Linked DNA regions of Nothobranchius furzeri. The protein of the gene in region 1 interacts with the protein of each later gene in a pairwise test. Links are inferred from orthologs where the notes say so. Each region holds a gene or a part of one and is shown on either strand. Other genes may lie near its edges.

Evidence for each region.
Region 2: the proteins of kdrl (region 1) and shc2 interact in a two-hybrid assay, tested with the Homo sapiens proteins (2 studies listed by BioGRID). The link is inferred for Nothobranchius furzeri from reciprocal best matches to the Homo sapiens genes FLT1 and SHC2.

The regions. Positions count from the first base shown.
Region 1 is NC_091741.1:84,332,026-84,335,847, forward strand, and holds part of kdrl (vascular endothelial growth factor receptor kdr-like), read left to right. Parts: intron 1-953; coding exon 954-1,082; intron 1,083-1,544; coding exon 1,545-1,651; intron 1,652-1,911; coding exon 1,912-2,041; intron 2,042-2,451; coding exon 2,452-2,556; intron 2,557-3,822. UniProt on the Homo sapiens protein: Tyrosine-protein kinase that acts as a cell-surface receptor for VEGFA, VEGFB and PGF, and plays an essential role in the development of embryonic vasculature, the regulation of angiogenesis, cell survival, cell migration, macrophage function, chemotaxis, and cancer cell invasion.
Region 2 is NC_091748.1:54,777,219-54,781,040, forward strand, and holds part of shc2 (SHC-transforming protein 2), read left to right. Parts: coding exon 1-63; intron 64-2,324; coding exon 2,325-2,492; intron 2,493-3,741; coding exon 3,742-3,822. UniProt on the Homo sapiens protein: Signaling adapter that couples activated growth factor receptors to signaling pathway in neurons. Involved in the signal transduction pathways of neurotrophin-activated Trk receptors in cortical neurons.

The DNA.
Region 1 (3,822 bases):
AATAATACAACGTGGTTCGGTTTAGGATACAATAAAATACAATAGGATGGGAATTAAACCAATTTTTACTTGTTCTTTTTACTCTGAGTTTAACATGCAGTGAAAATAGTCTTCTACCCCTATTTCCTGCATTAGCTGCCAATAGAAAATAGACAGAAAAACAATCGGCTTAAAAAACAGTCAGATCTACGTCACACTGTCACTTAACATTCATGGACACACCCATCTTGGCTCGTGACGAGGAAGGCATAGTGTCCAGGGAATGGCAGAGAACCTCTAGGCTAGTAGAAGCTAACTGTTAGCATTAGAAACTTCATAACAAGACAGAACTCCTTCAGGCTTGTGTTATTTGCGGAGATAAAACATCAGTGATGCAGAGTGACTGGAGGCAGTGAAGGAGTCGTGTTCGAATGGCTGGAACGATGCTAGGAGTAAATAAGTCGTTAGGTCACTTGTGTTGATGTAATCTACATAGATATGAAATTGCACTGCTGCAATAGTCTTTTATTTTTAAAATTACCAGTGATTTTACACTAAAACCATGTGTGATTTCCTGTCTAGCCCATGTTAACTGCAGAAATTGACGTGTCCCAGAAGCGACTCGCTGCCAAAACAAAACCCGATCCTATCTTTAGCGATGCGGTGCGCCGCTTCTGGGACACACCTGAAAATGTCTGCATTGTGGCTGGTTTGACTCTAATGGATTATGTTGGAAGCAGTGACGTTCTGTGCTGCTAATGCTTCCAGTGTGAAGTAGGGATTATACTCCAAATGCTGCCGTTTTCTGCTCCTCTCTTCCCTGGCTAACTACTACTTCCTAAAACAGAAGAGCTTTTTTATCCTCACAGAGAATGAAAGTGCAAACTGTCAAAACAACTTTGTCCAGCCTGCAGTTACAGTAGAAATCCAAATAATTCTGACCTGATTTCATGTCTCTGATGTCTGGGCGTCAGGTGTCAGCCTGCAGGAGGACGGGACTCTGATCATTGAGAGAGTGAAGAAAGATGACGAGGGTGTGTACGAGTGTGTGGCCCAAAACATGGAGGGATTCGCCAAAACGAGTGCTGTTGTCACGGTGCTCGGTGAGTCAATCTGTCAAATAAAAATTATAATAAATATATCAAACTGAATAATTAGTCCAAGCAGTTAAATGTTTTTTTTTCTTTTATAATCCTGCGTTTCTAGGGAAATCAAAGAGGCCCTTTTGGCCTTGTGTTTTCTTTTCATCACTACAAATTGCTCTGGTCTGAGACAAAAAGCTCCCGATGGAAAATTGGCAGCTGCCAGGAATGCCAAGTGAATTCCTTCTTGGGGTTTATGATCATAGCTTTGGCGGAGGGCCCTTTTGTAGAGGACATAACCTCTGTCAAGTGTTAAGAGGGTCTCTAATGAGTCTTAAAATATTGACTGCTGCTGCAGCCGCGACAGGCTGGAAACAGGCAGAGTCCATCGCTGGACACGAAGCTTCTCAGACAAATTGTTTCAGAAAACGCATAAATAAAAGTTCATTTCTTTCATTGATCAGAAACACTCTTCTCTTTCAGGAGATGATGGGAAGCCAAATATTGAGGTGATAATTCTGGTGTGCACTGGAGCTGCGGCCACTTTCCTCTGGCTCATGCTCATCTTGTTCATCCGGAAGCTCAGGAGGGTGAGGGCGACGTTGCTTTACTCCTCACATTATTTGTGAAATTCTCCATTTCCTCTTTTTAATACCAATGTAAAGTTTAGCTGGTTGTGAAATGCTGCTAAGCTGATAGATAAATTTAGAATTTTTTTTAAAATTGTGCAGCATGTCTGGAAGGGAACTCTATGTACTTAATCTCACTCGTGTGGGGAGCACAAGACAAAACTAGGTGTGATGAAAGAAGAATGAAAGTAATCCTTGTTTTATGTATCTGAACACATCAGCAACCATCTCATTACAAGATGGGTCCGTCTATCATCATTGATCCTGATGAGTATCCCCTGGAGGAGCAGAACGACCTCCTCCAGTACGACAGCAGCAAATGGGAGTTTCCTCGTGATCGCCTGCGACTCGGTGAGTGCAAGTCTTACATTTCCATTTATTCAGACCTAAAAGATCTTTGAGTTATTAGATTATCCTTCAGAAAAATGCATTTTTCAGAAGGATAATCTAACAACTCAAAGGTCGTTTAGGTCTGAGATGCTAAATAAACTAACCCAAGGTTAAAAGTTTTCAAACAGGACATTAAGATACATGATGGATGTGCCCCCCCTGCAGCTGCAGCTTTGGGTCATCATTTATATCTGACCTCTGCTGTCACCCTGACTCAAGTCAACCATAAATTTGTTTGAAAAACTGCCACATGAGAGCTCCAGTGGCCTCCTGATGGGAGGGGGTCACACTGACTCGTTTCTGTTGGTCTTTGCCCCAGAGAGACACACTTGGTGTCGTTCTATTTATCAAACTGTTTCCTTCTTCACCAGGTAAAATTCTGGGCCACGGAGCATTTGGGAAAGTGATGGAAGCTTCCGCCTTTGGAATCGACAAACTCTCCACCTGCAAGACCGTTGCAGTGAAAATGCTGAAAGGTAGCATGCCTGAACTTCAGCGTTTACTCCTGATGGGTTTATTCTTCTGCAGACCCATGAGCTCCAGCACCACATGTGCAATTAATATGTGCATGGCTTAGTAGTTCAAAGAATGCAATTAGACGTGTTTGATGCAAAGGGAGGAAGAAGTGAAGGCAAAGACCTCTAGCCCCGCCCCCAAATCCACTGAGTTCAAAAGTGTAAAAGATCCAAATGAGCCAGAAAAATATTCCTGTTTATGATGTCTTTAAGATTTTAAATACAAAAATAACTTCATAAACTTCAAAAATAATAACCTTTTTTTCTTTTCTTTACTGAAACTTGAAAAAAATTAAAAAACTTCTAAAACTCCAACTTCCCTTTCTTACACTGAACACAGATTTTTGCTTGTTTTCTGCGTTCATAAAGAAACAGTCAACACTCATCAGTGAGTATCGATATTGAGGTGGTCTGTTAGCCTCGGCCAGGCTTCCAGCTGCATCTGTTGTCCTATGATTTATTTATGTGTGTATTAATCGTGTTTGGATATAAATCATAGATTATCTGAGGAAAGCAGGTCGCAGGTCAAACTTAATGGAAAGCAGAAACTCTGTGACTTATCCCTGCTTTTGGTTTTCCTCTCAAGTATGTTTCAGAGCGATCTGCATCATGGCATCGTGCTTTAAGCCTTTCAAAAACAAGCATGTCGAGTCAAAGTTTATCACTCTAAATGTGGTTTTTCAAAATAGTTTCTGATACCTTTGTAAACTTTGACCTTTTTAAACCTTTTTTCTCAAATATAAGTAAACTGAGCAGTCACCTCCTTTTTAATATAAATGCTAAATAGGCTATTTTTCCCTAGAAGACTGGGCAACATTATTATATATAGAAAAACATTTGTTTTGCATAAACATAAAAAGATTTATGGAATCGTTTGTATAACCTATACTGTGTGAGAAGCTGGGATTAAACAAATTATGACAATGTTTTTAAGTTTTTAGCATTTAAAGGGATACTTTGCAACTTTTTCATATTTTCTAATCATTTTCTTGGCCCATTATATGATAAAATAACGCTTTACAGGGTTAATGAAAGGCCGCCGAGCCTTATCGCCCCCCAGCGGCCAGAATATTCGCCTTGCAACTTCAGATTTGCCGGTCCGGTCTGCGGGACTTGGAAAAAATGAGCTGACATACCTGGCGCTGCAGTCTGCTTCCAGCATGTTTTAGATCATGAACACAGCTGATTTGTTCAATTTAGTGATAAATCACTCTTGTAGACTCTAAG
Region 2 (3,822 bases), on another chromosome or scaffold:
AGCAGGCCTCTTACCAGCCTGGACAGCTGTGTTATGAGCTCCACTGGGACACCTGCGGCTCAGGTGAGGCACCTTTTGGAAGGAGGTCTCCACAGCAGGTCACCCAATGGTTAACCCTCAGGCTCAAAATAAGTTTTGATAAAAGAACGAACAACTAAGTCCTTCAGGGGTACTTCTGAGTAAAAAAAATGCTCATGAAATACGTACAGTATGTCGAGTAACCAGATAGGTAGGTTTTAACGTTGCAAATCTGCAACGCCTGCCTCCAGAGGGTTAAGAATTTTAAAAATGCTCTTTATTAGAGACTCGATGTGTTCATTTTCTATGAGATTCTGATGTTTTTAAGTTTGTTTGTTTTCCTAAATTAGTTACATATGAATTGAATTGAACTGAATTGAATTCTTTATTGCCATTATGCATACACATAACAAAATTATGTTGGTAGCTCTCAGCTTAAAGGGTACTAAGACCACAAATAGAATGATAAAAACATGAAGAGTAAAAAAAAGAACAATACATAACCTTCCCTTTAGGGAGCCATACACACACTTGAGTAAAAAAGCGGAATCATTTAAAAGATATAAAAGATAAACGTTGCGCTGACTGGTATTCTGATCGTACTGATCGACATGTTGATTGATATTATTGCACTGCTTGTTATTGCACATAGACGATTCAAGTGAACAGGACAATAGCAGCATGAAAAAACAGGATCATTGTAAATTACAACCAACCCATCATTAAAATTCTAACAGTCTCATGGGTCATTGGTTGGGAGTGTAGGTATCTGCAGGGTCACAGAGGTGGGGGGGGGAGGATGACGGTGGAGAATGACTGGGGGGGGGGGGGCTTTAACAGCTCTAGAGAAGAAGCTGTTCCTCATCCTGGTGGTTGTGGCCTTGATATTCCTGTAACGTTTCCTGGATGGTGGCGGCATAAACAGTTTGTGACCTGGATGGAAGGAATCAGCAGCGATACAGTTAGCCTTCCTTTGTAGTCGGATGGTATATACTGAGTCCAGATCTGGTAGTGGGCTCCCCACGATCCGCTGAGCAGTTTTCACCACCCTGGCCATGTCTTTTTTGTTCTGGACGGTACAGCTCCCATACCACACCGTCATACTGAGTGATAGGATGCTCTCAATCGTGGCTCTGTAGAAGTTCTTTAGCAGTTGGGGGGAGAGACCGGCTCCCTTCAGTTTCCTAAGGAAGAAGAGTCTTGGCTGGGCCTTCTTTACCAGAAAGGAAGTGTTCAGTGATCAAGTTAGATCTGAGGTGATGTGGATGCCCAGGAATTAGATGTTGTCTACACGCTCTACTAGCTCCCCTCAAATGAGTAGAGGTGGGTGTTCTGTCCTGTTGAACCTCCTGAAGACCACTATGACCTCCTTGGACTTACTGGCGTTAAGCACCAGGTTGTTCAAAGAACACCACTGAGTGAAGTGCTGTACCTCCTCTTTGTAGAGGGTCTCATCGTTGTTTGTTATGAGACCCACTATGGTGGTGTCATCTGCAAACTTCAAAACCATGTTTGAGGGGTGGAAGGCTGTGGAGCCTGGATATTTTTTTAACTGTGTTGTGGAACATTTGTGGTAATTACTGCACTTTCTGGTGGGAAAAAAAGATTTACTTCACAACTTGCAGAAACAAGGTTTTGCTGTTTGGCGTGTTCTCGGAATCACATTAATAGGATTAGAATTTCTGGGAATGTGTCAGATTTTCTCTCATGTTGTGTAATCTGTTATTTCTAATGGAAAAGAAGCAAAATGCATCTTCCCGATTTTAATTAACTCTTTTGATTTGTCAAAAATGGGGGAAATGGTTACATAAAAGGGTTTCATAACATTTGAAAATGATGTACATGTGTGCTTGTTGCTCAGGATATATATATATATATATATATATATATATATATATATATATGTGTGTGTGTGTGTGTGTGTGTGTGTGTGTGTGTGTGTGTGTGTGTTCAAAAGATCCCTTCACGACATTTTCAAAATTGCACAAATCAAACTGTAGAATTCAGATTTATATAGTCACAATTTTAAAAGGGTTTAAGGGGAACCTCAGGCACTACACTTATTCAGCAATTCAGTTATCTCACCAATTATCTCTAATTGCATGATTTACTTAGGTTGTAGTGGGTTTAAAGTAAAACATTTCAAAAGGTATAATCTGCCTGCTGAAGTGGCTAAAGTAAAAAATAAATATGAAAATAAATATGAAAACATTCTATTGTACTATTGCACAAGAATGCAGATCAGAATTCATCCAGCTTGAGGCGAGAAATGTTCTTGAGCTGTTGTTTTTTTTCTCTGATGTCAGATGGTTATCTGTGTGCTGATGGTCAGCCTTCAGGCAGCAAAGACTACGAGGAGCACCAGTACGTAAACACCCAGAGTCTGGAGAACCTTGAATCTCTCACACAGGGTGCAGAGGGACACAAAGGGGCCAAGGCACATGACAGTCCCAAAAAAGACCTTTTTGACATGAGTGAGTGCTTTAACAATAAGCGTATGTAAAAATGAATAGAAAAACCGCAACAAACTAATAAAATCCAAAAAAGGCAGCTGGACATGTTTGGTTTCTAGAAAACTTTTCGCTTCTCATTTCCATCAATTCTGACTGGAATATGGGAGAGCCAAACTTTTAAACTGTAGCTGTCTTTTGTTGCTAAACTGCTGGCTGTTTCCTGATCAGAGAGCCCCTGGCTGCAAGCGTTTTTGAGCGCTTGTAACTGTTTTTTGAAGAGTCACAGAATATTGTGCTCTATGACCACGTAAATACCAAAACTACCAAAAGAAAGAGTAAACTCACTTCTTACATCTGGAATAATCAGCATGTTTTTAGCTTTTTCTGTTCTTTCACAATCTGTTGTCGTAAGTGTGAGCTGCAGCTTTTCCATCCCAAAACGACTTCCTCATACCTGATCATGTGATGTGTGACACATACAGATGTACGTAAGTCAACTTTCGAGCCGTGATGTTTACTATCAAGGTGAGCAAGCTCGCTCCCAAGCTCGCCCCATTAAAAACACTATTGACAAGTTTAGGCAGCAAGCAGTTGGATTTAAAATGGCGACTTTAGTCGTCAGTGGCAGTGAATGAGTTAAGAAGCAGAAACACCCTCTGAATACCCCTCCTCCCCACCTCCCAATAAGTCGTTAGGCTCTATTGTGTGAGAATGGTTGTTTTGATTAGCAGCAGGATGTGACCTAGACTGAATTAGGTTTAGAGCTGCATTATAAGTACTGGAAAGGTGAAACCTGAATCCTCCTCCTTTGTTGAATGTAGGATTTTCCCATTTGACATAGATAGCTTCTTTTATTCCTCTCTCAAAACATCTAACTACTCTGTCCAGAATGTGTCCCTTGTCCTTCAGGTGTAGGTGGACTGCAGAGTCTTGACCTGATGAGGTGGCTCTTCTGTGTTGTGCCATGCGCTTGTGTAGTTGTTGTTTAGTTTCCCCAATGTAAAGATCTGGACATTCCTCACTACATTGGACTGCTTAAACGATGGCACTAAGCTTCTGTTTGGGTGTTTGGTCTTTTGGATAGACCAATTTTCTTGCTTGACTCCCATATTCCAGTCAGAATTCACAGAGCTCCTCGGATGAGAAGCAAAACGTCTTTAAGAAACTAAAGAAGTCCAGTTGCCTTTGTTCAAATTTCTCTATGGATTACCATGACCTGCTTGACTTAGTGCCATCACCAGCATGTGTTTATTAAACATTGTATCTGCAGGACCTTTTGAGGATGCGCTGAAGCTTCACGAGGCCTGTGGTGGAGCTGTTGGGTCCAGTGTACCAGGAGGTCCTGGCTCTC